4 linked regions of the Lonchura striata genome follow. The protein of the gene in region 1 purifies or fractionates together with the protein of each later gene. This does not show direct contact. Links are inferred from orthologs where the notes say so. Each region holds a gene or a part of one and is shown in the gene's direction. Other genes may lie near its edges.

Evidence for each region.
Region 2: the proteins of SART3 (region 1) and LSM8 purify together in Homo sapiens (affinity purification with mass spectrometry; 4 studies listed by BioGRID and IntAct, counting the BioPlex papers as one, with this or other methods). This does not show direct contact. The link is inferred for Lonchura striata from reciprocal best matches to the Homo sapiens genes SART3 and LSM8.
Region 3: the proteins of SART3 (region 1) and PPIH purify together in Homo sapiens (affinity purification with mass spectrometry; 3 studies listed by BioGRID and IntAct, with this or other methods). This does not show direct contact. The link is inferred for Lonchura striata from reciprocal best matches to the Homo sapiens genes SART3 and PPIH.
Region 4: the proteins of SART3 (region 1) and LSM6 purify together in Homo sapiens (affinity purification with mass spectrometry; 4 studies listed by BioGRID and IntAct, counting the BioPlex papers as one, with this or other methods). This does not show direct contact. The link is inferred for Lonchura striata from reciprocal best matches to the Homo sapiens genes SART3 and LSM6.

The regions. Positions count from the first base shown.
Region 1 is NC_134620.1:11,419,628-11,427,824, forward strand, and holds the start of SART3 (spliceosome associated factor 3, U4/U6 recycling protein), read left to right. Parts: upstream 1-4,820; 5' UTR 4,821-4,867; coding exon 4,868-5,035; intron 5,036-6,129; coding exon 6,130-6,256; intron 6,257-6,896; coding exon 6,897-7,001; intron 7,002-7,976; coding exon 7,977-8,161; intron 8,162-8,197. Other genes in the region: iron-sulfur cluster assembly enzyme ISCU, read right to left, coding at 2,575-2,669, 3,036-3,114, 3,706-3,816, 4,020-4,133, 4,208-4,291. UniProt on the Homo sapiens protein: U6 snRNP-binding protein that functions as a recycling factor of the splicing machinery. Promotes the initial reassembly of U4 and U6 snRNPs following their ejection from the spliceosome during its maturation.
Region 2 is NC_134607.1:33,922,154-33,929,689, reverse strand, and holds the start of LSM8 (LSM8 homolog, U6 small nuclear RNA associated), read left to right. Parts: upstream 1-4,480; 5' UTR 4,481-4,537; coding exon 4,538-4,568; intron 4,569-5,436; coding exon 5,437-5,477; intron 5,478-6,599; coding exon 6,600-6,727; intron 6,728-7,536. UniProt on the Homo sapiens protein: Plays a role in pre-mRNA splicing as component of the U4/U6-U5 tri-snRNP complex that is involved in spliceosome assembly, and as component of the precatalytic spliceosome (spliceosome B complex).
Region 3 is NC_134626.1:8,516,817-8,524,795, reverse strand, and holds the start of PPIH (peptidyl-prolyl cis-trans isomerase H), read left to right. Parts: upstream 1-4,934; 5' UTR 4,935-5,087; coding exon 5,088-5,153; intron 5,154-5,494; coding exon 5,495-5,559; intron 5,560-6,163; coding exon 6,164-6,187; intron 6,188-6,677; coding exon 6,678-6,722; intron 6,723-7,132; coding exon 7,133-7,175; intron 7,176-7,979. UniProt on the Homo sapiens protein: PPIase that catalyzes the cis-trans isomerization of proline imidic peptide bonds in oligopeptides and may therefore assist protein folding. Participates in pre-mRNA splicing.
Region 4 is NC_134606.1:62,311,362-62,318,661, forward strand, and holds the start of LSM6 (U6 snRNA-associated Sm-like protein LSm6), read left to right. Parts: upstream 1-4,100; 5' UTR 4,101-4,136; intron 4,137-4,765; 5' UTR 4,766-4,784; coding exon 4,785-4,878; intron 4,879-7,300. UniProt on the Homo sapiens protein: Plays a role in pre-mRNA splicing as component of the U4/U6-U5 tri-snRNP complex that is involved in spliceosome assembly, and as component of the precatalytic spliceosome (spliceosome B complex).

The DNA.
Region 1 (8,197 bases):
GCTGGTGGTGGTGGTGGGCTCGCTGTCCTTCGTCCTCCTCTTCATCATCTGCGCCGCCGTCATCGTCCGGCAGAAGCACAAGGCCTCCGCCTACTATCCCTCCTCCTTTCCCAAGAAGAAATACGTGGATGAGCGGGACAAGTCGGGGGGAGCGCGGGCGTTCAGCGAGGTGCCCGAGAAAGGCCCCGAGGCCGGCGCGGAGGAGCCGCTGGACAGCGGCCGGCAGCTCCAGGCGGACATCCTGGCTGCTGCCCAGAACCTCAAATCCCCCCACAAGGCACCGCTGGCCAACGGGGCCCAGGCCGAACAGAATTCCCCTCAGGAGGAGGAGAAGGAGGAAGAGGAGGAAGGGAAGAAGTTGGGGGATGAGCAAGCCAAGCCCCCTGCTCAAAGTCCAGGCGTGGAGGAAGTGGCGAGCGCAGGAAGCAAGGAGATGCCTGATGCATCCCAGGATGGCTGCCAGGCTCCCTCTGGAATCTGAGGCAGGGACACAGTCCCGGGCAAGCCTGAGGAGCTGCTGGCTTGGGACTCATGATGGACACGGTGGGTCAGGCTCCGTACGTACGTGGTGGCTCAAGGAAGCCCCGATGAAGATCCCATTCCCTCCCAGCTCCCCCGACCCTGGTGCTGATGGGATGCTCGTGGGGGGGGATTTGCCAGCTGGTGGTTTTCCCCAGCACTGGAACGCCATCAGCCCCAGCTCCTGCTGCCCAAGGGGCTTCTCCCACCCCAGGCACTGGGGGTGTGTGCATCCCCCCAGCTGCAGCTCTGCCCCCACTGTGCCACCAGCTTCCTCCCAAATGTTATTTCAATCAGCAGCAACAGCCTGGTCCATGCCAGGCTCCTGGCTGGGAGCCGAGTCCCTCTGGGAGAAGGGATGGGACCAGGGCTGGGGGTCTGTAGGACATGGGTCAGCTTTGCCCATGGCCACCCAAGGGAAAGAGGGATGAGGATTTAGGACAAGGACCCTTCTTTCCACCCCAGAGCCCAGCTGGATTTTTGCCTCACTTCCTGAACCTTTCAGCTAGAAATAAACATTTCCTCCGCACAGCTCCTCTCCTGTGTGTCTCTGCAGCCGTGGGGTGGCCAGGGGACCGTCCCTGTGTCCTTGTGCTCCTCCAGGGGCACAGCTGGATTGCACTCCAGGGGCACTGGAGCCCTGGGCAGGGTGTTATCAGTCCCCACATCAGCACATCACGTGCCCTTCCAGGAAACCTTTATCTCGCACCCACAGCTGTGGGCTGAGGAGGGGCTGTGGGGACTCAGCCGTGGCCCTGGGGTGCAGCTGCTGCAGTGGGAACAGCAGGGAGACCTGCAAGGTGAGTGAAGCTGTGCTGCCTCAAAAGCAGCACGTCCCTGTATCCCTGAACCTCCTGTATCCCTGGGTTTTATCCCATTATGTCCTTGCCTCAGGACAACCTTCCCTTGGGAAGAGAGTGCCAGCACAAAGAGCGGGTTTTGCCCCAAAGCAGACGTGAATGTGTGAAGTTTCCCTGATTTTGTTTTTAACTGGGCAATAGCAGGATTGTTCCATGAGGGAGAGGCACATTCCTCGCTGCTGGAGGGTGCCAGCTGAGGAATCACAAGAGGGACCTTGTGAATGACATACAGCAATGTGTGACCTCTGTGTTAAAAATTACAAATATTGTGCCCAGACAGAGCAGAATGAGACTTTTTTTTTTTTAAAGTGTGGTTTTAAATGTTTAACAACACCCTCGGCATGAAAAATGGGAAGTGAGGTGTCTTGTTGTGGGTTAGAAGGTTAAAAAGTGAAGTCTGCCAATGTGTTGTCTGCTTGGTTTGGAAATACTCCTCCAGAAAAGAGGAACTCTGGGAGCTCCCCATCAGCTCTGCATTCCAGCTCTGCTATTCCCCACCGAGCTTCCAGTCTCCTTAGAGAATCTTGGAGTGGTTTGGGTAGGAAGGGATCTTAAAGGTCATCCAGTTGCAAACCCCTTCCTTGGGCAGGGACACCTTCCTCTAGCCAAGGGTTTACAGCTGTAAGAGTGAGTGAAGAAGTGAAATTCTTAAGAGAAAACACCCCAAAATTCAGGCTCAGTTCCTCAAACAAGAGCTTCAAAAATTAAGTGGCGACAGGATGGGAGCAGAGACCACCAGTGTCTCCTGGTCACTTTTCCCTTTGGCACCTGCAAAGGTTCCCAGAATTCCAAGAGCAGGAATTTGCCCCCGGATTGCGAAACCAACCCTGACACAGCCGGAGCCAGGGGCGGCCACACAGCTCTCACACACACATCCAGACCAGGGCAACGCTTCCCACTAAATTCCATCAAATATTAGGCAAAACTAAACATCTTCCCAAAACAAAAATTGAAAGTGCAGCCCTTCCAGTACCGGACAGCGGGGTTTTGTCTCCGGAGCGGAGTCTTCCCGCGGCATTCCCAACGGGATGGGAGCCCCCATCCATGTGAGCACTACGGGGTGGCTGGACACCACAGGGACACGTTGTGCGTAACTTGTGCGTATCTTACAGCTTGAGTAGTGCACAGGGTCCTACAACAGCTCGGGAATTGCACTGCAGAGTGAGGAGGGAGGAGGGGAAGCTGCGCAGGCGGTTCAGGCATTGTCGGCTTTTTTGTCGGATTCTCTGTTTGGATCCTGCTTCAGTTTGTAATCGGCCAAGGCAGCCTTGATGGCGTCTTCAGCCAGCACTGCAAAGCAAAAAAAAAAGGATTTTAAGGAGAACTCAAAAGCTTTTAAAACAAAAGATGAAGTAGAAACAAAAGCAGGCAAGACCAGCAGCACAGGCTGATTTGAGGAGTAGAATCTGAATGGAATTCCTAAAATACTGAATTCCTCCAATTTCAATAGTGTAATTCAGAATCTGATTGTTTATTATCAGTCTGCTGAACCACAGACTCCAATATATCAAAGTGATCTGAAAATTCTTGAATTAACGCTGAAATCTGAACATGTTTTCTCTTAAGGACAACGTTGTGCAGAAACTGTTTGGAAAACAGCATCCAGAAGCATCTGTGCTATTTCCAGAGTATCTGAGATCCAGGGTTTTTACTTACTGGAGCAGTGCAGTTTGACAGGGGGAAGGCAGAGTTCCTTGGCAATATCTGTGTTCTTGATTTTCAGCGCTTCATCAACCTGAAACACAGGCAGAGGTGGTCATGGGCCTTGTTTGTGTTTGCTAAGAAGGTTTAATGCTCCAGAGCCAGCAGAATCCACAGGGGACATCAGCTCAGCTGCCCAGGGCAGTGAGGGATGTGGGAATTAAGGAATGTCTGACTGACATATCAGTGTCACACACTGTCCCCACTTGGCCTGTTTCAAGTCTGTTCATCCTCTACCAAAACACTGAGGTGCATTTACTGCTGGCAGAAATGATCTAAAGGTTCTCCGTAACTAAAATTTCTGCCATCAGCCTGGTTTTGCTCATTGCATAAGACAGAAGATAATTTCCTGGTGGAATTGTTTACTTGGGCACGTGCTCAGGAGTGGAGCTGCTGGGGAAAGGTTGGACTTGATGTTGCTATAGAGGGCTTTTCCAACCTTAATGGTTCTCTGATGGTTGTTGAAAAAGACAATTATTGCCCTACAAGTGAAGCCCTGACAGTGCTGGCAGTCACTTCTACAGCACAGAGTAATGCAGGGATTCCCTGGAGAGCACTTCCTACATGATCCCAACAGAAAACACAGCACGTGGGAAGCTCTGCAGCTTTCCCGGAGCTCCCTCACCGTTTTCCCTTTGACCCACTCCGTGGCCAGCGAGCTGGAGGCGATGGCTGAGCCGCAGCCGAAGGTTTTGAAGCGGGCATCCACGATCTTGCCATTCTCGTCCACTTCCACCTGCGGGAGCGTTTTGGGGACAAGTCAGTGCCCGGTTCAGCTCAGCCAGGTGTTCCCAGCCGGGCCCGCGGGGAGCGGGGCTGGCCCTGCCCCGGGCACAGGGTGGGCATGAGGGAAGCCCGTGCTGTCCCCTGAGGGGAGCTCTGACCCTCGAAACAGCCCCATGTGACCCCACCCAGGTGCCACCGGGTCCCCAAGGTCACCTGTAGCTTCATGACGTCGCCGCAGGCCGGGGCGCCCACCAGGCCGGTGCCCACGTTCTTGGCATTGCTGTCGAGGGAGCCGACGTTGCGCGGGTTCTCGTAGTGATCCACCACCTGCAAAGACACAGCGTCAGACAGGCTCGCCCCGCGCTTCCCCCATCCCTCCCCGTGTCACGCTCGCCCCTCACCTTCTTGTGGTAGCCCAGCGCGGCCGGGGCCGGCCCGGGCCGGGGCCGCAGCAGCGCCGCTCCCGCCGCCCTCAGCGCCGCCATCTTCACTGAGGGGCGGGGCGGTGGCGCCGCCCTTTTATAACCTCGGGCGGGCTGGCCACGCCCTCAGGTCTCGCCCAGGCCACGCCCCCTCGCCTCCGGAGCTCGCGTCTCCCCCCGGTCATGCGTTGGCCACGCAGGCGGCGGGAGCGCTGGCGGCCGCGCTGTGGCTAAGGTGATCAGTCAATAAATAAACGACAGAAACGGCGTTGCAGTCGCGCCAGGGTTCCCATCGCGACAGACGGCGGCGGCTGTGCGCACGCGGCGCCACACTCAACATGGCGGGCCGGCCGCGCCGCGCACGCCACGGACCCTCCCGGAGGCCCCCTGATGGCCACACAGCGGGGTGCCCGCGGTGCTGCCTGCGCCGCGGAGCAGAAGACAAAGGGTCGAGCCGTGGCCGCACTCGGCGCAGCGCTGCCCCGGTGCGCGGGCCAGTGCGGGGCTGGTGTCGGGCTGAGGATCCCGGTTCTTCCCGCCCGGTTCGGCCGGCGGTGGGGCGGAACTGCGGGACGGGCGGCGCGGGGGCAGCCGCGGCGGGCGGCGGAGCGCGGCGGGCGGCGAGCGGAGCTGCATAAGATGGCGGCGGCGGGAGCTGAGGCGGCGGCCGAGGAGGAGAAGCGGCTGCCGGAGGGAGACCCCGAGTCGGGCGGGGACTCGGATGATGAGGGCGACTCGGACTCGTCTGGGGACGGCGAGGATGAGGAGAAGGAGAACGAGGCCGAGATCCAGCGGCTGGAGGAGCAGGTGGGCCCGGCGGGGCAGCGGGTGTGGCGGGAACGGGGATAATCCGTGTCCGCCCGGGCGGTTTGGTGTCAGGGTGTGAATTTTTCTGCTCCTTGTGGGTTTCTTCCAGGTCGGGATATCCGGTGATTTAACGCCGTGAATGTCTGGAGTCCTAGATGGGAGTTGAGCAGCTTGAGATTCTTCTTTTTTTTTTTTTTTTTGGAAGGGAAATAAGAGGGAAGTGGAGTAGGCAGTTCGTGTTCATTCAGAAATGTGAGCCGGCTGCCCGCGTTTTTTTATTGCCTTTAAAGAAATGAAAGCGCAATTCTCTCTTTGAGCAGTGGCCGAGGGAGCGGCCGGGGCTATGTCTGGGGTTAGGTTAAATCTGAGTGTGAAAAACGCCAATTTTAAAGTTTTGAAAGTTTAATAATAATAAAATGTTTATGAAAATAGTAATACAATTAGAGTAATAAAGTTTAGAGTTAGGACAATTGCAAGACAATAAAAAGCAAAGAATTACGGACATCCAGATGCTCTCGGTCACTAAGTCACGAAAAGCATCCCTTGTGAACAAAGGAATAACCTTAAAAGCAACAGCCTGTTGTGTATTCATATTTCTCATACATGATGCATAAATTCCTTGCAAATTACGAACTCTTTTGGTTTTTGTCAACTTCTCCTTAATCCTGTTGGTTCCACAAAGACGGAGAGAAGGTGGAAGAATGTTTGTTTTTTCTGTTAAGGAGGCTGTATCTTTTTATGGGCCCTCTTCACTGACATCTCCGTGTGAAGAATTTCTTGATTATCTCATCTTCCTGCTTGAGCTTGTAACAAGTCCTACATCGCAGAATTTATGTTGTAACTTAAAGCTACATTTAACACACTACTTAAGAGAATTAATAGAATTAATACAGCATAACTTTCTGACGTTACACGTATAATATTCATTGTAGCATTTGCGAAAAGCCAATCATAAAATGTGCATTTTTCACATGAGGAACTCTGCCTTGCCTGGCTCTGTGATCACACCACGAGAATTGTGTGATTTATTTTCTGACTTTTTCACGTCCATCACTCAACAGGGCTTTTAAATTTTTTGTTGTTGTTTGTTAAAGCTTTCCATCAATGCTTTTGACTACAACTGTCACTTGGATCTGATCAAGCTGCTCCGGCAGGAGGGAGAGCTGGTGAAGCTGCGCAGAGCTCGGCAGAAGATGAGCGAGCTCTTCCCCCTCACTGAAGGTACAGAGCATCCTCTGCTCCCTGCAGGTGAAGCATCACCCGTGCAAGATGCTTCAGCAGTGAAATAAAATATTCAAGCCAAATTTTCAGCACCCTCGCTCCAGGGGGATGTGATCCAGAGCTCAGCAAACTCCTGGTCAAAATTTCTTAGGCAGGCAGCAAAGAAAATTCCCTGCTGGTGGAAATTGCGGGTGCTTGAAGTGGGGATTTTTGTTTTATTGCAGGGGCTGTGGGGTTTTATTCTTGGAAAGGGATGGGGAGGCCCTGGCAGAAGTTGCTTGGAGAAGTTGTGGCTGTTCTTGGATCTCTGGAAATGTCCCAGGCCAGGCTGGACAGGGCTTGGATCAACCCTGGGATAGTGGAAGTTGTCACTGCCCATGGCAGGGGATGGAATGGGATGATTTTCTAAGTCCTGAGAAATTCCAGCTTTTCTCTTTAGTAAAAATGTGCTTGTTCAGCACCAATTTAAAAGCTTTCTGCCTTTTATCTGAAATTAATTTGGAATTGTGGAGGCTAAAATTCCTCTCTTTGCCTTACTTCCCCTCCTTTGTTTTAATTGTTTTGCTAAAAACTCATCAAGTGGGTATAACGTGTTATTTCTGAATATTAATGATCTTCTTTAATTTTTTTTTCCTTCCAGAAATTTGGCTGGACTGGCTGAAGGATGAGATAAAAATGGCTTCAGAGATCTCTGAGAGAGAGAAGGTTTATGAGCTGTTTGAAAGAGCTGTCAAAGATTACATCTGTAAGTCATCAAAAAAAATGTTTTAAAATGGGTTTTGTTGCATCCAGATTTGGTTTTGTAGGGAAATCTATTGCTTCTGTTGTAACAAAGAAATTGGGTCAAAATTTCAAATTAATTTCTAAACTCTGAATGTGGAGTGATGCAAAGGAAGGATGTGATGTCTGGTCTCTCTATTTCTCAGGAGATGCTGTAGCTTAAAATTTTGGGGATAAATCCCTGAGCTCTTTGGGAATTGGGGTAAAGAGCTGGAAAAATGAAGCCTGAAGAAGTGGAGGGAATACGGAGGTAAATCCCCCCCAAAAGTTGCGTACGGAATGTCACATCAGTGACATTACCTGGTATTGGTGATCCCTGAGGAGGAAGGAATGGAGGTGAAGAAGTGAGGAATTATCCTCTGGATCTGCTGGACTTCATCTGGGGTTTGGAGGCACTTCTGGAACCCAGGGCAGTCCCAACCTGGGGGTCCCAAAATGGAATTTGGAGTTGGTGGGAATGGTGCCAGGCACTCAGTGCTGTTCTCCCACCTCTCCTTCACCTGCAGGACTCAGCTGCTTCAGGAGTTGCTGATCAGGGAAGTTCAGGAGTTTGGAAAGAGGAGTAGGAGGAGCTGCTTTAATCTGAATTATTCCAGAGTGTGACAGCTCTGTGGTCCCAGCTCAGGAAACAGGAATTTGCTGTTCAGGCATCTTGGTGCATCCCTACTGTGGTTTGTGTGGCAGAGGTGACAGGCAGGGCCAGTCCCTGTCAGCAAAACCACAGGAGTGACACCATTCAGAAGGAAACTGGGGCTGCTGCTGCTGAACCAGCAGCATAAATACAATCCCCAAATATTTTAACTTTTTTGGATAAAAAACAACATCGCCACATGTTTTTCTATTTCTATGCAGCACGAGGTATTTGTGGGAAGCAGAGCTGCGTTTCTTCGTTATTATTTTTGAAAAGATCAAATCACCTGCTTCTCCTAACCTTGTTTAGGTCCTGAAATTTGGCTGGAATATGCCCAGTATTCCATTGGAGGCATTGGGCAGGAAGGGGGCATCGAGAAGGTTCGGTCCATCTTCGAGCGGGCTCTGACGGCCGTGGGGCTGCACGTGACCAAGGGCACGGCCCTGTGGGAAGCCTACAGGGAATTTGAGAATGCCATCCTGGAAACAGCACAGGTGAGCCTATCAAAACTCTGCAATTCTAATAAAGAT
Region 2 (7,536 bases), on another chromosome or scaffold:
GGCAGGCTTTAAGGAAGCTGGGAAGTGTGCAGAAACTACAGGGAATGATTAGTTAGTCACATATTCTGCAGGAAGCATAACATGGAACAATCACTTGCCATAGCAACCTTAACATATGGAGAATCATCTGCAGAAATAAACTGATTTTAATTACTAGACCAAATGTAATTAGCAAGTAAGCTATAGGTAAACAATGTAAGAGAAAAGGAAGCCTTTTTAAAAGGGTCTTTTGTTTCTTCAACTGATAGCTTAACGGGCATTATTATTACTTAGTATGTCCCCAAGGACAGCTCTGCAGCAACTGAAGAGAAGGAACAGGCAAAGGGCTGCTAGGTAGTTTTCTGATCCCAAATGTTGCCAATGTTATACAGTCATCAGAAATAAAATCTGTCTGCTCTAATGAAAGTGTGAACCTGTGAAACGTCCGTGTCTGAGTTGGTCACAGCAGGCTCGCTTTGTAAGCACTGGAGAGACGCAGGCATTTTTAGGGGGAAACGCATCTCGCTCTGCGGCAGGGCATTTCCGTGCGCCGGACCCGGCGCCGCGCTGAGGCTGCGGGCGGCGGCTGCGGAGGCGCGGGGGCCCCCTGCTGGGCACGCGGCCGCACCGCAGCCCCGGCCTTCCCCCGGGGATCCGCGCGCTCTCCGCGCCGGGAACAACTTCCGCACAAATGACGCCACTTGTGCCCCCAGGTTGTAATTTAGCCTGCCAAACCTTGCTCCTGAAGAGGAGAGGCAGTATATTTTTTTTTCCCCCCAAAAGATACGGGTTTAAATTAGATTTACCCATTTCCTCTGTGTGTGTGGGTGTTTAGTAAGAAAAGAATAAGAGCAGTGGTGGCTTCAAACAGAAGATTGAACCTCAGTTAGGGCTGTAAGAAGAAGGGCTGAGCTGCCTGCTTTCAGGAAGAGCCTAAGAGTAGATGAAGCCAGGAATTCTCTTTTCAGAGTTCCTTTTTACTGAGGATGCTAACTGCTTTTAAGCACCTGGTTTGGCAAAGCCTGGGCACTGGACTTCTTTAAAGAAGTCTGGCCTTACTCTTTGAGTTTTAATCCTCCTTTATAAAACAAAAGCGATTTTTAAAAAATCCCTTCTCTGGTTTTCAGGGACACTCTTAATATAAACAGATGGATCGGAGATCCTTGGCGTCAGGTATTGTGGCAGTGTCCTGCAAATATTTTAAGATTTCATCCTATATCCTTGTATCCCAACGATCTCATGTTCTTGGTCTTTGAGAATGTCTCTTTACAGAGAGAAAAAATATAAAAAGGAAAATGTCAACCCCTCACACAAAAGCCCTTTAGACTCTTACATGAAATACAGAATAATTATTGCTGTCCTGGTGTAACCATTAGTGGAAGTTGTTAAGCTTCTTATAATAAAAGCTTAAGAGGATGAGAATTATGTAATGCCCAATTCCAAAAGTATTTTTTTCTCTGACATTTCTTGTCATGTTTCTGATAAAGGCTGAGCCATTAGACAAATTCTTCAGAGACTACTTTGGTGTAGGTAACTTCAGAGGTGCCAAAGAACATCTATTTTGTTTTGGCTGGCTGATTTGCTTTAAAAAAATTAATTTTGCTTTCCCTGTAGTTGAGATTGCAATAGTGTGCAAGAAAACAATTGGCATGCTAGGAGAATAAACAATAGCATTCTCCTTTCCAGAAATTGTATTCCCTACAGGAATTAAACCATGGGCTGGACACCAAGTCCTAGTTTGGACCTCTTGCCAATTTGTCTCTTTTACTGAAATAAAAGGAAGTTGGACTACTGACAGGGACAATCTAAACTGGGAAGTTGGGAGGAGAAACAGCGAGGACAGGTGACCCAAACTGACCAAAGGTATATTCTCTACCATGTGGCATCATGCTCTGTACATAAGGCAGGGGGGAGGAGAAAGGGAGGATGTTTGGAGTGACAGCATTTGGCATCCCAAGTCACCATTGTATGTGATGGGACTCTGCTCTCCTGGAGGTGGTAGAACACCTGCCTGCCCATAGGAAGCAGTGATTTAATTCCTTGTTTTGCTTTGCTTGTGTGCACAGCTTTTGCTTTCCCTACTAAACTGTCTTTATCTTAACCCAAGAGTTTTCCAGTTTATATCCTTCCAATTCCTTCCCCCATCCCACTGAGTGGGAAATGAGCAAGCAGCTGTGTGGGACATGGCTGTGTGGAAGGGCAGCAGTCAGGCCTCCTTCCTGCCCACCTGACACTGGCAGCCCACCGAAAACCAAGGGAGGATTACGTGGCTCCCAGACTAGCAAGACTCATATGAATTTACAGGTTAGAAGGGATCTTGAAGATAATCTAATCCCAACCTTTTCTACAATGGACAGGGACACCTTCCACTAGACCAGGCTGCTCAAGGCCTTACCCACCCAACCTGACCTTTAACACTGCCAGGGCTGGGGTATCCACAGCCTCCCTGGGCAACGTATTCCAGTATCTCACCACACTCACAGTAAAGAATTTCTTCCTAAAATCTAGCTTAAATTTTCCCTCTTTCAGTTTGTACCCATTACTCACTGTCCTGTCTCTACAGCTCCTGAAAAAGAGTCCCTCTCTGACTTCCCTGTAGAACCCCTTTGGATACTGGAAGGTTGCTATGAGGTCTCCATGCAACCTTCTCTTCTCCAGGCTGAACATTCCCAACTGTTACACTGTCTTCATAAGGAAGGGGCTCCAGTCCTCTTATCAACTTTGTGGCCCTCCTCTGGACTTGCTCCAACAGTTCCATGTCCTCCTTCTGCTGGGAGAACCTGTGACACAGGGTTTCACAAGAGGAGAGAGGTTCAATCAATTCTCTCAGCCTGCTGCCCACACTGCTTTTGATGCAGCTCAGGTTATGGCTGGCTTTCTGGACTGCAAGTGCACACTGCTGGCTCATGTTGAGTTTTCATCAACCATTACTCCTACGTCTTTCTCTGCAGGGCTGCTCTCAATCACCTGTACACTCAGCCTGTACGTGTGTCTGGGATTGCCCTGAACCAGGTGTAGGACCTTGCACTTGGCCTCGTTGAACTTCATGAGATTCACATGGGACAATCTCTGAAGCCTATCCAGATCCCTCTGGATGGCATAATTTCAATGGCACCACATAGCTTGGTATCATCGGCAATTTTGATGAGAGTGAACTCAATTCCACTATCCATGTCACCTACAAGGATGAACAGTGTTGGCCCCAGTACCGACCCCTGGAGAGACACCACCAGTCACTGGTCTCCACGTGGACAATGATTCCTTATCTTTGCCAGTGGCCACTGCGAAGAGAATCGCTGCACCAAGCAGCCAGGCGCTGAAGGCGGACCCCGGCTGCAGGGATAAACCTTCCCGCCCACGCCAGCCCAGACCCGCCCCTGCCGCGCCTCCTGCCGTCCCTGTGGCCGGGGCCGTGTGCCTCTGAGGAGCAGTGCCGTGTGCCTCTGAGGGGCGGGGCCGTGTGCCTCTGAGGGGCGGTGCCGTGTGCCTCTGAGGGGCGGGGCCGTGTGCCTCTGAGGGGCGGTGCCGTGTGCCTCTGGGGGAGCAGTGCCGTGTGCCTCTGAGGGGCGGGGCCGTGTGCCTCTGAGGGGCGGGGCCGTGTGCCTCTGAGGGGCGGGGCCGTGTGCCTCTGAGGGGCGGGGCCGTGTGCCTCTGAGGGGCGGGGCCGTGTGCCTCTGAGGGGCGGGGCCGTGTGCCTCTGAGGGGCGGGGCCGTGTGCCTCTGAGGGGCGGGGCCGTGTGCCTCTGAGCGGCGGTGCCGTGTGCCTCTGAGGGGCGGGGCCGTGTGCCTCTGAGGAGCAGTGCCGTGTGCCTCTGAGGAGCAGTGCCGTGTGCCTCTGAGGGGCAGTGCCGTGTGCCTCTGAGGGGCGGGGCCGTGTGCCTCTGAGCGGCGGTGCCGTGTGCCTCTGAGGGGCGGTGCCGTGTGCCTCTGAGGGAGCAGTGCCGTGTGCCTCTGAGGGGCGGGGCCGTGTGCCTCTGAGGGGCGGGGCCGTGTGCCTCTGAGGGGCGGGGCCGTGTGCCTCTGAGGGGCGGTGCCGTGTGCCTCTGAGGGAGCAGTGCCGTGTGCCTCTGAGGGGCGGTGCCGTGTGCCTCTGAGGGGCGGTGCCGTGTGCCTCTGAGGGGCGGTGCCGTGTGCCTCTGAGGGAGCAGTGCCGTGTGCCTCTGAGGGGCGGTGCCGTGTGCCTCTGAGGGGCGGGGCCGTGTGCCTCTGAGGGAGCAGTGCCGTGTGCCTCTGAGGGAGCAGTGCCGTGTGCCTCTGAGGGGCGGTGCCGTGTGCCTCTGAGGGAGCAGTGCCGTGTGCCTCTGAGGGGCGGGGCCGTGTGCCTCTGAGGAGCGGGGCCGTGTGCCTCTGAGGGGCGGTGCCATGCGCCGCGGAGGGGCGGTGCCATGCGCCGCGGAGGGGCGGTGCCGCAGCCCCCCACGCGGCTCTGCATCGCTCCTTGGTACAGCCCTCCCGCACCTCCTGGCCGCTTCCTGTCCCCCGCGCATGCGCGCTCGTCGCTCCGCAGGCGGCCCCGGGCTGTGCGCCTGCGCGGCGCCCCGCGGTGAGAGCCGCCGCCATGACGTCCGCGCTGGAGACCTACATCAACCGTATCCTCCTGGCGTCGCCTCACGGCGCGCCGCGCTCCGGCCGCGCTCCGAGCGGGGCCCCGGCGGGGCGCGGCAGCGCGGCTCCGGGGCCTGGGCCCGCGCCTGTCCCTCCTGGCGGTGGGGGTTTCTCCTCCGGAGGCTGGCCGGGCAGGCCGGAGCGTACGCGGCAATAGGGTCCCCTGCAGCTCGCAGTGCTGCCGGGCTGAGCTCTGCCCGTGGTGAGCGGGATTCGCCGTGGGCCTGCGCCCTTAAAGGGCTCTTAGCCTGAGTTTGGATAACAGCTTCGCAGCACTTGCTCAAAACTGAGCTGGGGGATCTTGCAACGCTTTTGGTACTCGGTTTTTGTGCTCCTTGTAACCCACAGACATTGTCAGTTTTATTCACAAACAGTAAACTAGTAACCCGGAATTAGTTAAGACGATGAATATATGATCATCGAATAGGGATAATCCGATCTTCAGGAACAAGAGATGCAGAATACTAGCCTCGGGATCACTACTACAGAGCTTTTTAAGGACTTTAAGATTGGTTTTCTAAGGTCTTAAAGTGTTCATTAAACTTTCCATTTCGAGGCAGTGCAGTTAGCAATGGGAAGAGAGGTGAGCTCAAATCTTTATTCTGTTTTTAAGGCTTTTCATGTTTGTTTATGGCTGTCCATGGTTGGGTGAAGAGAAACTTTCAAAGAGATGTTAATGAAAAATACTGTATTGTTACATGTTATTGTCAGCCATGCTGCTTTAAAAAAAAGTGCAGATAGGCTTTTTAGGCTCTAAATGGCTCATAAAACCTGTATTACATATGAAAGCTTCAGAAAGTGTTAATGGTTCTATTTCAGATATAACTAAATGTTTCCTTAATTAAATATCAGGTACTGTTGCAGTAATTACTTCTGATGGAAGAATGATTGTGGTAAGACTTCTTTTTTTTAACATTTTATTTTCCCCATAAAGACATCATGGCAATAAAGAAGCTCTGTTAGGATAGTCTCACATACTCACATTACTAAATTATGTATTATAGAATAATTGCTATAAAGCTTAAAGAATAATTTTATGAACACTTACTGTTTCTTGCATGTCATGTCAGCTTTTTTCCATTGATATATTTGACTGCATAATATTTTTTGTTTTATGCTTCTGTGTTTTGGGTTTTCTTTCCTTGCATTGCATTTCCCCATCTTTTATTCTTTTGTGTTTTGAGTGTAACTTAATAGTATGATTGTTGCAAGAGGATTGTATCTTTCTGTCTACACTGAGCTTTGTGCAGCCTCTGGAAAGAGAAAACAGAAATCTGTTGGCTTCACCAAATCTGCTTGGCTGAAGTCAGTCTGATAAACTTTGTGTGTGTGTGCTACAAGATACCTCTATCAATAAAGATTGGAATGGAGTTGGTATATATGACTCGTTGTTAGATGATATAAATATTATGACTGTTTCAAGGGCTGTTTTATGTAAGTTTGAGTTTCTTAATCAGTTAGTGATGGTAAATTTATGTTAAAAATTATCCAAACACGTACTTAATTGCCACAAAATCTTGTATTTTTTAATGTATTTAAAAAAAAATCAGTAAACACAAAGTAATCTTCAAAGAGATGCCCCTTAAAAATTGTTTGTTAGGAATGGTTTCAGTATTGTTGACCACAAGAATCCAACTTGTCTGTTTTCTGTTTATTTGATATTTTTTTTTAATTTCTGGAAATGTCCATACAAAAAACCATTGTAGAAATAGTAGAATTGGTTATATAGAGGAACATCACTGATAAAATAAAAAAATTACTTTTTTAATGCTTAAGCATATTGTCTTTTAGCATGAACACAAAGTAATACTAGGGTGCTTTTCTTAAATTGGTTATTGCTTTTAAAATTTCATTCTTTAGCTTTTGTGTTTAAACCAAAGAATAAAATCTGAATAGAACATCTGTTCTCTAGTACCTTTATTTTGCCACTCTGTTTAAGAGTGCTGTCCTTGACAGCAAAGGGGAAGAATTTTAAGGGCAACGGCAGTGTGCTTTTTTGTGTTTTTTTTTTTCAGGGAACACTCAAAGGTTTTGATCAGACCATAAACTTGATTTTGGATGAAAGCCATGAACGAGTGTTCAGTTCTTCACAAGGAGTTGAGCAAGTAGTGCTAGGCTTATACATTGTTAGAGGTGATAATGTGTAAGTATAGCATGTTCTTGTTTAAATCCTTTCATACAGACTTTGTGTGTGGATGCATGTGTTTGTGTGTGTGTATATTTATATATCCATAATCTGTATAAATCTTGATAGCCCCACACACCTTGCATCTTTGTGGGTAGCACTGAAAGTATTGTCAAAGCTGAAGGTATTAAAAAGATGTGTAGAAGTGACACTTAGGGACATGGCTCAGTGGTGGACTTGGCAGGGTTAGGTAATGGTTGGATTTGATCTTTCCAAACAAACAACTGTGATTCTGTATTAAAGACCAAACGTCTACACTTCTCTAAAAGTTGAGACTGAAGTTGAGATTGAAGATGATCTCTGTGCTGGAGCATCTCTCCTACAAGGACAGGCTGGGAGATGATGAAGGAAAAGACAGAATAATCACTAAAAAATGAGATAGAACTTGTGTACCAAAAGTCATCAATTTGGTATCAGTTTGGGTTTTTTTTTTCTTTAGAGCAGATGTTCGCAGAGAACTTTATAATCTGGAAAATCCTTGAAGGTTCTGACTTGACAGTGTAGCAAGTGTTGAAGCCAATGTAATGACAAGTCAAATGTATGAGTTGGTATTTGATGTAAACTTCCCTTACAAAATGAGGGTGGAAGCTCATTGAGTGCGGAGAAAAGTAGCTGGTGTGCCAAACCCATGCGAGGGTTACCAGAGAAGTGGAAAGAAGGCCTGGTAAGCGGGCCAGCTGGGAAGATTACTTTTGCCATCAGTTTCACAATGCTGCTGCAAAAGTAAGATTATTTTTTTATCACAGCTGAAAAAAGTGTGTTGCAGT
Region 3 (7,979 bases), on another chromosome or scaffold:
TTCTAGTCTCACAGGTAGATGGCTGGACAGATGGAGAGAGCAGGGACAGCCAGGCCAAAGGGAAGGATGGTGAGATGGATTGACATAGGATAGGTGGGAGAGTGGACAGATGCTAAGTTGCCTGGATGGATGGACAGAGAGAAGGACAAAAGGACAGATGAATGGATGGACAGATGGCTGAGTACTGATGGACATCTGTGACAATGGGTGTCCCTCAGGGGCCTGTACTGGCACCAGTGCTATTCAAGGCTTCATCAATGAAACAGACAATGGGATCAAGTGCACCCTCAGCACACTGGCAGAGGACACCAACCTGAGCAGTGTGGGTGACACGCCTAGAGAACAGATCCATCCAGAGGGACTTGAACAGGCTCAATCAGTGGGCTGACAGGAACTTTATGAGGTTCAACAAGACCAAGTGCAGGTGCTGCACATGGGCCATTGTAACACTCAGTATCAATACAGGCTGTGGGATAAAGAGATTGAGAGTAGCCCTGCCAAAAAGGATGTGGGATGCTGGTGAGAGGCTAGACATAAGCTGTCCATGTGCACTGGCAGCCCAAAAACTAACTGTGTCCTGGGCTGATCCCCATAGCATGGGCAGCAGGTGAGAGGGGGTTCTACCCCTCTTCTTTGCTCAGACAGGACCCCACCTGCAGTGCAGCCTCCAGCTCTGGGTTCTCCAGCATAGCAAGGATGTGGACCTGCAGTCCAAAGGCCATGGAACTGCTCTGAGAAGCTCTGCTCTGGTGACAGACAAAGAGCCAGGGATGTTCAGCCCAGAGAAGGCTCTAGGGAGATCTTAGAGCCCGTTCCAGTGCCTAAAGGGGCTCCAGAAGAGCAGGAGAGGGACTTGGGACAAGCTGGTGTGACAGGAAAAGGGAGAATAGCATCATACTGATATCTATCAGGGTTAGATGGGACACTGGGAAGAAATTCTTCCCTGTGGAGGTGGTGAAGCACTGACATGGCTTGCCTATAGAAGCTGTGGAGCTGAGAATGTGTCACTTTTACTCAAGAGCATCCCTGAACCAGCCTTGGAACTTGATGCCAACTTGCCTCACTGGCAGTCTAGAGAGCTGCCTTCCAATCAGCTCTACCAGCAGGACATTGCCAAGGTATTACTGTGCGTTTCGCTTTTCTTTTTCAGGAACCATGTTCCACACCCGGAGACAAGCCTGTACCAGGAGTGCTGTGATGATTCCCACTAGCTGTCCAGGTCAGAGACATGCAGGTAAGGCACCACAGAGGAGACAGCACCATGGAGGACACACTGCCTGTCACTTCTCTTGCAGGAACTGGGTTTAACAGCAGGAGGGAGCCAGGGCACAAGGGCTCATAAAATCAAAAAATGCATCAAAAAGCAGCAAGTGAAGAGAAAAATGTGCAGATTATCAAGCCAAGATAGTGCTTTTACGTAACATCTGCCAGCACAATTGCAGTGAAAAGCATTGGGAGGTCAGGGAGTGGCTGAGTTCAGTGCCCAGCAGAGAGCCCAAGAAGACAGGAGAAGACAGAGGAGATTAAAAAGATGGAAAGTGGAAACTGAGGCCACTCATAGTGTGCAGGCCCTGGAGAAAGACACTGTTGGTTGAGCAGATTATGAGGAAGAGTAGTAACCTGGCTTGTATTGCAAGTTTTACATGATTTGCAAAGGTGTTTTTTGATGTCATGTGTACCTGAGAAGGTAAGAGGACAAGACACAAAGAATTTGTTTATGCAGATGCAATACATGTAGCTAAATAATAATTTATCTTGGTATTTCTGTAGTAAAGTATCTTTCCCTTTCTCAGAGGCTGCTGAAGAAGTGACTTTTACACAGGTCACCAGAGCATGACTGGTGCCAAGGAAGATCTCTGCACTTGGATGCTCATCTGGACCGTGCTCCAGCTCACATCCCCTACTCCCAACACCTTTCTCACTGGACTAGGTTGCTAGAGGGCACAGCAGTCCCAAGCACTGGCAGTGGAGCTTGAAGCTTTTCTCATTTTGGAGTGAGCTTCTAAGCAAGCTTAGGAGCTGGTGCTTTATACTTTCTGTGATAAAAAATGCCTAAATGTTTGTCTTGGTTTTGCCTAAGAAACTGATTTCTGGGATACCTGAGAAATAGGGCAGAAGGTATATGAACTGCAGCTTGTGTGAGACACTGCAGAATCATCTTCAAGGTGAAGTGTTGTCTTTTTTAATCAAACTCCACTGCCCAATTCTGCCAGGAAACCAATTTCTTCACCAAAAGGAGTAGCAAGAGTGGAAACCCACCTGCTTAACCAAACACCCATGTTAATGGGGACTGTTAGTGTCCATGTTTGCAGTCACTTGGTTTCCCTGTCTCTCTTGCAGAGACATCTCTCCCTGGATGTTGCATTTGGGAGAACAGGACTCACACACAGGGGAGCTGAGCCTCTGATCCAGGAGCCCTGGAGACACTGTTCCTGAGAATACTTTTTCCTTGAGATCGCTGCATGCAATACAGGTGTAAAAGCTCCCACCTTCCTGCATCACAGGCGAGTGTTCATATAGGAAGCCTTGAGTTAAACAAATTTTTAAAAACCCTGTCTGTTGTTTCTTGCATGTCTCTTTCTGAGTAGTTTTTCACCTTCAGGAAACAGTAACAGACCCAAACTCTCTATAGGACAATCAGAAACACCAGATGGGACTGGGTTTGGTTTGATGGTTTTATTGTTTCAATCATAAATGTCAGGTTTAATGGTCAACATTCTTCTGAGATATCTGCAGCCTTTAATGGTCACTGGCAGGTTATGCTGGGAAGCTTAGTGACCAGTACTGAACAGATCCATACAGAAGCCATATGCACTTGAAATGATTGTCAAGGAGTGAGGCAACTGTTGCTATGTTGCCACTTTTTAGTTCTCCTCTCTTGATGATGAATGAAGAAAAGTTCCCTTTCTTCATTCTTGCACCATCCTTCCCTGAACTTCTGCCATCAGGAAGCTCTTTCTGTCCCTGTGGGAACAGCTGAGCAGGTTCTCATGGTCATTTCCCAGCTGGTGGTGAGGGTGCCCTGCTTTTCCTGGGGGATAGAATGTCTGGCTGACTTCTATTCAAGTTCTCCCCCTTCTCAGTGTGTGTGGGCTTTTTACACCTCCTTGATTTCTTGCAGACTCCTTGAGGCTTCAGCCCTGTTGTTTTCTGGCACATTTGACATGACATGCAGAAGACTGAAACAGCACAAGGCTTTGGAAAATAGACCACATTTTTCCAGACATGTCTGGCCCTTTCAGGCAGTGACTCATCTTTACACTCTCAGATGTCCATTTTGCCTCTTTTCACAGCTGGCCCTTCTCAGAGAGCATGCATCTGGCAATTTACACAAGCCCAGTTCAGTGCCAGACAGCAAGGGAGAAGAAATGGCCTGTCAACTGCAAGACAGAAAGAACTTACCTGGACAAACAGCCATTCTCTCCTATGACAAAAAGCAAAACCCATCAGAGAAGACAGCAACAGGATCAGTAACACAAGAGAGAGTATATTCTGAATATCCTTTCACACTTGCTCCTACCTGGCATAGAAAACTAAGTATGTATTTTGGCAGAGAGAAGTCTTGAGGCATCATTCATCTTGTACCACTGCCCATCCCTGGCCTGCAAAAAAAGGTATTTTCAGATGAACTGCAGTGGTTTTTAAAGCAAAACCACAGCTAGGACGCACTGAAGGACACAATCCACCAATGCAAATCACTGAGTAGATTTTCACCCTCAGGAAACAGTAACAGACTCAAAAATAATCTTTAGAGTCATTAGGAAATGCCCTGAGGAAACTGTGTCACCAATCACAGGCTGAAGGTATAGAAATAGATCACCTTTGTTCACCAAAAGCAGGCATTGCCATTTTGGCATTTCAGTGGCAGAAAAGTGCTCTGCACCAACCCATTTCTGTACATGCCAAGTCAGGGCTGATCTTCACCCTGGAGCCTTCTCTTGCCACAAGGAAAGGGCAAGGCCCAGCTACAGCACTGGTTGTGACAGCTGCACTCAGCCATTGAGTGTATACATGACTATTCCCAAATCAGGATTCTCATCCAGGAGAGGTCTCTTTCCAAGCAGAAAAGTTGCAGTGCACTTGTTTACATACCTTGCTCATCTTTCTGCCACAGAAAGCATGACTTCTGCTCAAGCACACTCAGGACATTGAAGGATGTCCTGTAAACTTCTCAAAGGCAGTGTTCAGATGATCAAACCTTGAAAACAAGCACAGACCTAACTGTTGCAATCATAGAATTAGTGGCAAAGATCCTGAAGATTGAGACCAATTTCTCCCCCACCACTGCCAAGGTCACCACTAAACCATGTCCCCAAGTGCCACATCTACACAGCTTTTAAACCCTTTCAGGGATGGGGACTCCAGCACTATTCTGGACAGTCTGTGCCAGGGCTGGACGAGCCTTTCCAGAAATTCTTACGGATGTGCAACCTGAACTTCCTCTGCAACAACTTGAGGCCAGTCCCTCTTGTCCTGTCCTTTGTTGCCTAGGAGCAGAGCCTGACCCTCACATGACTACATCCTTGTGCCAGGGAGTTGTGGATAGCGAAAAAGTCCCCTCAAGCCTCCTTTTCTCCAGGCTGAGTACTCCCAGCTCTCTCAGCTGCTCCTTGTACTTCAGACCCTTCCCCAGTTCCATTCTCTTCTCTGGACATACTCCTGCCCTGCAATGTTTTTCTTGTAGTGAAGCTCCAAGAACTGACCCCAGGACTAGAGGCACATCACTACAGGTGGGTGGTCACTGCCCTGGTTCCACTGGCCACACTGTGGCTGGTACAGCCCACGTGCCATTGGCCTCCTTGCCCACCTGGGCACAACTGGGCTCATGTTCAGCCGGCGTGTGCCCAGGGGGACAGGGAGTTGAACAGCAGGCCTTCCCAGCCGAGCAGTGGTCTACTCTGGGGAGTCCGAGCTGTCCCAGCAGGATGGAGCTCCGGACGCCACCCCGATACCGCAGACACAGTCTGGACACACCGAACACATCCCAGACATCCCGGAGAACCTCACCCCCACAGCCCCGCCCTGTCTCTCCTTCCGTCCCCGTTTCCACTTCCGCCGCCGTTTCCGCTTCCGGCAGTGGTACTGCGATGTCGGCTCTGGCGGCGAATCCAAACAACCCCGTGGTTTTCTTCGATGTAACCATCGGCGGGCAGGTGGGGATGCTCCAGGACGGAGTGGCGGCGCCCGCGGAGGGACTGCGGGGATAACTAGGGATGTCGGAGTCTTGTGGGGATGAGAGAGCGCAGGAGGTGCGGGGGCTCAATGTGGGGCTTGCGGGGCCGCAGCTGGAAGCTCTGGGAGGGGCGGTGCCAGGAGACGGATAGCGGGCCTGTGGGGAAGGGCTCACAGGGGAGAGGAGAAGCACTACGTTAGGAGGGACGGGCATGAATGGGGGTGAATAAGGTGACCGGATCTGTGGGAGTATTCGGGGTCGGGCGGCAGGCGTCTTTTTGTGAAGGGACCTGGAAGACTCACCTAGCCCCCGTCTGCTTAGGATGTTGGCCGCATGAAGATCGAGCTGTTCGCAGATGTCGTACCCAAAACAGCAGAGAACTTCAGGTAATGAGCAGCTACTGTTCCTGCAGCTCAGCCGGGACTGGAACTGCAAAGGCTTTCTGGTGCAGGAATGGCTTTTGGTAGCAAACTGATTAGCTAACTCCCACCCCAAACTGCTTCACCTGCTTTGTGTCTCTCTGTTCTCAGAGATGCTGTGTGGCATCCTGGGCTCTCAGGGGACCCTGTCTGGCTGGAAGGGGTCCTCCTCTGCCCTCCTCTCTGAAGCCTTCTGATTTGCTCCATGCATTTAGAGCAGACAGTGCCTTGTGTCATGGTGGAGGTCTCCTGGTCATCCTGTTTTCCTGCCATCAAATGAGGAATGCACCATGTGAAATCCCACTTCCATTGGAAGGATGGACATACCCTGCTCTCTATCAAACACACTGTCTGCCCCATATTCACAGTGTCTTACAACCTTGGTGTTAACTCTCTGACCTCCTCACGACAAAAAGCACAGAATATGTTTTGAAATGGCAGGGGGAAGGAATTGCCAAATCCTGTTTCTCTGGGAACATCTCTGACACAATAAGGAAAATCCTGTGCACCAGTTTGTGTAGCCCTCAGAGTTCACATGCACCTAACACTCTGCTCTCTTTTTGTTTGCCAGGCAGTTTTGTACAGGTGAATTCAGGTAAGTGGATTATAATGTCCTTTAAGTGTCCCACTGAGAAACAGGGCTGGGTGAGGTAGAAAGGGTTTGTCTTGAACTTTTTTATGTTGTACTAGTACAAAATGGAAGAGAAACCTGCTCTGAGGAAGTTGTGAGGGGCTTGGAGACTCACAGAGATGGCAGGTTTCGCTTTCTGATATTACTTTTTTTGTGCCCACATGGCTCTATAAGCTCTATCTGCAAAGCCCACCTGCTTATGCTGCACATTGCAGTGGGATCCTGTGAAGGTGATGATGTGGGTGTTATAGGGAACAGAGTCATTCATGTGCAGAGCCCACTTGAGGCTTTTTTTTGCCTTCAACAGCAGCAGCTGAGAGGCTGCGGCACTTGTTTGTATTTCAAGGCAGCTGCTAATGTACACAGCAACCCTTTGGGACTCTGAATTGTTGGGACTATTTTGTGTTGGGATATCCGGTAGGTTGCAATAATTCTCCTTTTCACTGCCCTACAGGAAAGATGGTGTCCCTATAGGTTATAAAGGAAGCACTTTCCACAGGTAAATCGTAGACCGTTGTTTGCACACTAAATAGCAGCCTGAGCCATACAGAGTTTTGTGAGCTGCCTTAAGCTATTAGTGGTATTGGAGACATTTGCGGATCATGGCTAATGTAATTCTATGGCTTTGGGGGACCTGGGGATGCTGTCCTCCCCACTGGGAGGAATCCCCTGTTTCTGGTGTGCTATGTCAGATAAGGCATCTATCACACAATCACTATCTCTGTACAAAAGCAATGAGTCCTAAATGACCTCATATCAACAGTTAATATTTATTGTAGATTTTAGGCTGCAGCATTCACAAACTGTGTTAACTTCTGTTGCACAGCAAGGCAGAACCTCTTTTCATGTTACACTGAGCTTCTTGAGGCTTTTGGCCACTGGGAACTAAGTGTTGTTTTACTTCTTTAGGGTAATAAAGGATTTCATGATCCAAGGAGGTGACTTCGTAAATGTATGTACTCTGGTACTCTTTTTGTCCTTTTCCTCTATGGTATAACATGCTACAGTTTCCAAGGGTCTTTGCTGATTTGTGGGATCTCCTTCTTTTCTGAGGTATCCAGTAGTAGCTGGAGGTATGCTCATAGCATTGCTGCCATCCTACTGCAACAGACACTAAACCTCTTGAAAAGGAATCTGGAGCCTTGTGAACAGGCATTCTTCCCAAAATATTTTCTCTCTGCAGTAGCCTATCAAAACCCTGGAAGCTTTCAAAACTTGAAAAATTTTGTTTGCCCTGTTTTCCTTCCCCCTTCTGATGTCCTCCTCCAGACAAAAACCTCTGTGAATTTCAATTCATATTGTAGATAGACCCTAAATACAGAACCCAGTGCGTAATGTAAGAGGTCATTTAAATCAAAACTAACCTTTTGTTACTAAATTGTCTCAAAATAGAAAAGTCTTTGCACCCACAATGGTGGTTGTGCTCTGACACAGGGATAAGAATATATGAGTAAGGCTGAAGGGTCACGGTATCTTCATTGTTCTAGGATCCAGTAAAATTATTTTAATTTTGGAAGCATTTAAAAATATGAGGGAAATTATAAAGCTTTTTTAATAAACAGCTTGGTTGTATGAAAGTCTCTGAGAGAAATGACCACACAGCAGGCGGTTCAGCAACACCAGACTCTGTTGTAGTTGCTAGTTGTGACACTGCTCAGATGAACCAGTGCACTGTATTACTTGCACTGTATCTCAACAGACTTTACAGATTGCTCCAGTATTTGGAATTGATATATTGTATTTATTACAAAGCCAC
Region 4 (7,300 bases), on another chromosome or scaffold:
AAAATCTAGCTAAGTGGTGCGAAAAGAAATCAAGAAGGGCTTCCAGCCTTTGTTTAATAGAAAACACAAACCTGACATGATCTGTCACAGTATATTTTAACTGGACAGAAACTAGGAAAGACAAATATGTGACAAAAGGTCATCATGTCACTTAAGCCATATAGGAGGAGATGAACATCCCAAGGGGGTGAGCACAGTATAAGAAGTTGAAGATGACAGAATTTTGTTAGGCTCTTCTATCTAAAATCTATAGGTCAAACCCAATACTACTTTGAGTAAGGTTCCATTCAAAAATATATTAACTTTTTAGTTGAGAACATGGAAGGAAATTATTAGTTCTGATGATCCTAGCACATCATGGGAAATAATGCTGGATAACTAAGCCTCTGTTTATGGAGAAAAACATCTTTGAAGTTTTACTGTATAGGCACATACAATCATTCACATGCTGGGAGGCTTGAACTCTCCCATCCAAATGCATCCAAAGGGGAATATCAGACCTCTTAATACTCATTAAAAAGCCGGGCCCTTGGGAAGCAAAGCACTCCCAGGAACTCGGAGGGGGTTAAGTGAACTCTGAAAGCTTCTGAGGCTCTTCCTTTCCTTTTGACGGAACTGAAAGTGTAGGAGACAGAGAGAAAGCCTCTGAGTTCTAACATTGTTCTCCCCAGCTCCCTGGAAGAACTGCTGACAGTTCCTTGTCCACCAGGAAGTTTGCAGAGGAGGAAAGGGAAGAAGGTCCCAATACTTCCTTTCTTTCTCTTGCTTCTTCATGCACCCTTCACTTCCTTAATGTCTTATTCCTCACACTCAGAACATCAGAAGAAGACAGTTCTAAGAAGCATAAATCACAGTGAAAGAACACAGCTCCAGAAGGAAGGTTTTGAGACCTCAGCTGTATTTTCAGTAACTCACAAATGTATCCTAAGTAATGGAGGAGTAATTAGCAAAACTTCTGCTGGCTTTAGTGAGAGCAGAATTTTGCCTTCCACCTCTCAAATCCCAAAAATGTACTGTCATGTTTACTTCAGGGCCCTCAAGAAACCCTGCAATATCAATGCTAATCTTGAATTGCAGAGTTTCTCCATATCAACACTATTTCATGGAGGCTGATACCTCCTTCTACCTCCCGTCAGAGAACAAGAAATGCTCCCCTGGATTTGGAACTTGATCTTGTCTATTACTTTATTACATAACTTAAAAAAAAATTATTTCCTCTTTTTCGAACCTAAGAAGACACTGAAGTTAATTGTTAAAATCATGTGATATGCTGTGATTTGGGCCAGAATGGATTTGTCCTCTCTGACAAAAGTTTCAGGTGAGAACTGTTTAAAGATTGAGGCTTTTATTCATCCACTGGGTGTAGCTGGGGATTGTTAGGTTGAATTCAAAATGGGCTACAGACATTCTTTTGTCATCTGGATTGTTGTTGATCTGCACTTAACTTATATAAACGATGTGCAATTCACAGGAAAAGGCTCCTTCTGACCCATTCTGTGTTCTGTAGCCATCTCACTCTGAAAATGCTTTTATTTCAAGTAGCTGGGAGAGAAAAATCTTCCTAACTTTAAAGTGGGTTTTATTGCTAGGAGAGAGAAGAGAGAGAGCATGAGTGAAAGTGAAATCCCATTTAATTTTTAAAGTTAACGGTAAAGTTTTAATTAGGTCCTCTGAACAAGGATTCTGTGAGGCTTTGTGTTTAAGAGTTAGCAATAGATCCACAGACTTCCATCTTAAAGTTCAGTTGACAAAGGCCAATACAACTCTTTACTTTGTAACTACGTAACCATTTATGTTTGAGGTGAAGATGTTAATATGGAAATTTTGTGAGCTGGGAACGACTAAGAACTCTATCATCGTAATTTATGACCTTTCATCTGAGGCCAAATGTAAAGGCAATTGCAATTGTTCTTTATCTCAAGGCCAGCACATAGCAGATGTGTGAAATTTGGAGTGCTAGACATAAACTTTTATTACCAAATTATAAATAATTTCTATCACTTACAATGTTCACCTTTCAAGTTCATCTTGATTAAAACACAAGGGCAGCATCTCGCTGATTTCCATGAGTTACACAGCTGAAAAAGCTCTACCATGGTACATTAGGAAAGGATAAAGCAATGCAGTATTTAAAACAATCTACTGACATCCAGGTATGCAACATTTTAGATAAAAATACTTTTTCATCTAGAGGACAAACAAACAAAAGATAATCATCAGCCAATGACATCTGAATTTTATTTTCACTTTTGGAGATTTGGAACCTTAAGGATTCCATTTAAGACTAATTTACCTCTAGGAACAGCACATGAGACAGCACTTTGAGACCTCTGGCACACCAAGGAAAATTACCCAAGATTTAGGTTCATGACTTGGTCTCAAACTGTGGAAGAAAGGAGCTAAGGATACAGAACTCACCAGTCTCAATGCCCAGGATTCAAATCTGATGTGTTTGTTTGTGAGGTTCACAGGCTGTGAAGCAGGAAAGTACACTGATTTTGTTGACTGACAGCAGACAATCAAGGTATCCACACAGGTAGAAACTGTAATTAAGTGTAAGCCTCAGCTAGCTAGAAAGCAGCCTATTGAGCAGAAAGCAAAACAGCTCATCAGTTTCTGATGGCTCAAAAAACCCCATAAAAGCTCTGAAGGCAAACTTGTAAGAAATAAAACAAAGAGGAAGGCTTACAAAACAAGGTGTCCCTGGTTGGATTTGCAAAATTGCCATGAAAATTTACCAGCCCAGACATGAAAGCTTTATTTGCCAAATCTTTATACTGGAGATTAATAACAATGAAAACAGAAATATTCCCTTATCAAAGCATTACTCACTGAAGCCAGGAAGCCAAATAAAACTTTGCAAGTCTGCTCCCTGGAGTAACTATTTTATGTTCCTTTTCTGCTTCAAATACTAGATATAATCAAGCACAGTTGGATGCTCCTGATTAACATGACGGTTGCCTGGAAACACAAGCACAGTGTGGCCAAACTTCCCTGTCCCTGCCTGTGCTTGAACTCTGGGACAGGCAGGTGAATAAGGTCAGGTTTGCAGCTCTTGCCTCTTAAAAGCCTTTTAGTCTAAGCATTGGAGAAAAAATTGTTACTGGACACATGTTCAAAAAGAGAAGATAAACAACTCCAGAAAGAAGTGAGAATACAAATCTGTGTTCTGAAAAGCCATGGTACATTTTCTTTGTATCATGAGAATTGAGAGGTTTGACAAGATACTAAATCAATACAGGACAGATAAAAAACCCAACAAAACAAAGCAGTCCAGAAGCTTTCACAGATTATTAACTCTTGTCATAGTATGAAATCGTAAAAAAAAAAAAAAAAAAAAAAAAAAAAAGAAAGAAAAAATAAGTATTTGAAGTATTTTCCAGACATCAGGGGATAGCTGCGAGAAAGGAGGAAAAACAAGTGAGATGATGGGGAGAAGCAGAAGAGTAGAAGGTGAGTTCAGTTTCTTCGTATGCCAAGTTATTCCCAGGTGACTTAAAAAAAAAAACAAAACTTATCTGTGTTCACTGATTCCTCTGTGAAATGACCTTCAGCACTTCCCTGGCTGGTCCTGGACAGATCCCTGTGAGGTGCTCACTATGTCTCTGATAAGGACAAGATCATTTGAGAATTAGCAGGGTCTCATTAGAATAGAATATAATAATGAGTACCGTATTGGGTATCAGGAAGAATTCCTTCATGGAAGGGGTGATTCGACATTGGAATGGGCTGCTCAGGGAGATGGTGGGGTCACCATTCCTGGAGGAGACTGGAAAGCAAAGCCTGGAAGCGGCCCTCAGCTGGGCAGCGCTTGGACTCGCTGGTCTCTGAGGCCTTTCCCAACTTCACTGATCCTGCGGGGCTTTTTCCCACAAGACACCCTGTAAACCTTCCACACTGCAAGATTTCTCTCCGATGGGGTGTTATTTCGCGCGGAATCCCAATCAAGCCATAAAAACCCCTCACCGCCCTGAAGGGGCCGGGACTCCCCCCGCCAGACCGCGGGGTGGGGCCAGACCCCTGAGGGCGCGCCCGGCCCGTCCCGCCTTCGACCCGCGCGGGCCGTCCCGCCCGGCCGCCGTAGCGGGGCGGGGCGGGGCGGGGCGCGGGAAGCGCCGGGAGAGGCGGTGGCGGCGGTGAGTGCGGGCCCGGCCGGGGCCGTGTGTGTGCTCCGGGCTGGCTTGTCACGGGCCGCCTGCGCCCCCGGGCTGGCTTGTCACGGGCCGCCTGCGCCCCCGGGCTGGTTTGTCACGGGCCGCCTGCGCCCCCGGGCTGGCTTGCCGTGGAGCCGCGCTCTCCGGCCGGGCTGGAACGCGAGGGTTCCACCCGGGGGCAGCGGCTCCAGACGCGTGTGCGGTCCGGGAAGGGGGCGCAGCCCTGGGCGCCAGCATCGCTGGCGGCGGTGGGTGTCGGTAGGGAAACTGGATCCCCGGGTTCACGGCTGGATTTGCCCCAGGAAGCAGCGAAATGAAGCCGGCACCGTGCGGGTTTTCTGTCTCTGGCCTTTGGCACTGTTGAAATTTAAAAGCTGCACAGTGTGGCAAACAAAGATTCTTAGTAATGCTTTCAGAAGGAGTAAAAATGCCGAAGGGAAAGTGGAATGCAATGGCTTTAGGAGCTCTGTCTCCCCACCTCAACCTTTAGAGTTTTGCTTTAATCTCTTTCTCTTATGGAAAGTATTACAAATCAGGGGTCTGCTTGTCTGTACAGAGTATTTAAAACAATGTGGAGGCATGTCTCTTATCCTAATGTTTTCACTTCTTAGCTTACCAGAGAAGATCACGATGAGTCTACGGAAGCAAACCCCCAGTGACTTCCTAAAACAAATCATTGGAAGGCCAGTTGTTGTAAAATTAAATTCTGGAGTTGATTATCGAGGTAAGTTCTCTATCTGTCTCTCACAGTGAGTAAAGTAGTTCATTGAGGAGGCTGGAATAGATGCATTGATTTGGAAAAGAAAGGCAGTGTGATCCAGAATCATGGAGTATGAGGATAGATATCTCAGAATGGTGATGGCAAAATAGAAAAACAACTCCGGAGAAAGTGTTAAAAAGAGGGGGTAACAACAGTGGATTTAGAGGTTAAAATTACTGATCTAAGTTATTAGTGTCATTGGTCACAGGTGGGTAAACTGGATGATTTTGAGTTTCTAAGCTGATACTTGGAAAGATTGTCTGGAATTACAACTCCTGAAATGGCCAGGAACACTCCTTGTTGGAACTATGTACTAGGCTTTTCTTCAACTTTTTTTTTCTCTATTTAGTTAATACAGATCTTGATCCAGGAAAACTTCAGAGTAAACCATGCTGTCAGTCACAACAGAATTCTTACATGAGGGATGAAAGCATTATTGACATTCTTGGTTAAACAACTGCCTGGACCTGTGCTGGACCAAGGCTCACAGAGATACAGGAAAAGGTTTAGTGTAGTTTTTGCAAGCTTCATTTTAACACAGCCCATCAGTTTTATTCCTGATTTCTTCAATCTATCAGTATACCTTCATGTATATAGAATTATAGATTTTTTTTTTAACCAGTAAATTAAAACTCTGTGCAATGAAATGTTCTGGTCCTGCTCCCATTAAGATAACGGGATCACTCTGACCAATTTTTTTAGCAGTATCCGAACTCAGTCAGACCTAATCATGTATCTTCTGCTGTGCTCAGTTAAGAAATTTTATTCTGTAATGACTTAAACTTTATGGTTCTGCAAAAGACCCCTTCTTCAGAGAGGTTTACCTCAAGTGGCTTACATTGGCACTTGTGTGAAGAGACTTGTTCGTGCTCTGACGAGGAATCTTTGTGCTAGGACAATATTAAATTGTTACTGTTCATTGACTGAGCAAGCAGTGGCATCTTACTCCTTCCTGTTTCTCTGCGGTGTCAATCAGCTGGCAAAATTTTCAGTCTCTCATTTTTTTGAGAACCACATTGTCTGAGTACTTCAGGTGGGTTTGAGGGCTTAAGAAGTTTGCTGCCTCTCTGTAAATTCTTTAGTGCAGGAGAATGTAGAGAGAGCTCATTAAAGTCAATTAAAGCAAGTCCTCATTTACCTGAGGGTACACAGAAGGCAAGGCCAAACCAGATTTGGGTTTTGCTGCACTTCCTATTTTCATTGAGACCATTGCTACCTCTCCCTTGGTAAGATCCTTTTGTAAATGCTGTAGATTAACGACCCAACTTACCCCTCAGCAAAGCTAGTTTAATGTGCCTACTGTGTGACACCACATCACATTAATTGAATAAGAGTTCCTTGAACACCCTTATTTGTTACTGGATTTTTCCTGTCCTTCCCTTCCTTCTTTCCCTGCACTCCTTTGATCTTGTGACAGAAAATCTGTGTAGTGTTTTCATCTGAAAAATATGCACTTAGTTTGTTTTCTGGAGAAATGTGACCAGCATTTGTAAAAGCCAAATATTTACAAAACAGCATCTCGGGCTGTTGTTGCAGATCTGTCCAGATTCTTCCCCAGACTGTGTTGCTGATGCTTTTGTTGCCTCCACCCTCGGAGGCCCCACACACACACACCTCATGCAAGTGTTGATGTGTAACTGAACTGTCTTCAGCCATTGCCAGGTGCTGCAAATGTCCAAGACAGGAAGCCCTGAGAAGCGATCAGGGGTATATTAATGTATGGTTCTGTGTGTCAATATGGATATGTACATTAAAACATCTCTACATACAGATGAAAGAGATAAATTGCTAGCCAGGATGGGCAGTGATAATATTTGATGCCATTAGTGATGTAAGAGTAAACAAAAAGAAAAGGAGGAAGAGAATGAAACAACCATGAATGCACTCTCGAAGCAAAAGAGTTTGAAAATACTGCATTTATGGCCTACTAAGTTGTATGTAGCTCAGGTAAATCCACATGGTCCAGTTTTAATTTTGTACAAACATATTTTTGCATCCTGTGCTATGTGGATCCCTTAGGATTACTGGAGTGGAAAAGAATCCTGACTTTGGTTTTGGTCTTCTTGCTGCATTTAGTGGCACTTTGTGAGCAGTTTTTCCTGTCTGTGGAAACAGAGGAGAGAAAAACAGAAAGGAAAATAATAACCTTTAAGCCATGACAAGTTGGTAAAGAAGTTGAATTCCTGATTATTAACTAGACGATCCTGCAGTAACACTTCTGAAAAATTAGAATATGTCCTGAGTTTTCTCCCTCTTCTTAAGTACAGCTAATACACTATATTTCATGTCTTACTGCCAGGTAAATAGCTAGGTGTTTTTCAAACAGAGGAAAAAGTTATTTAAGTAAAAAGTTATTTATCCTGTGCAAGGATAAAGACAGAAAAAC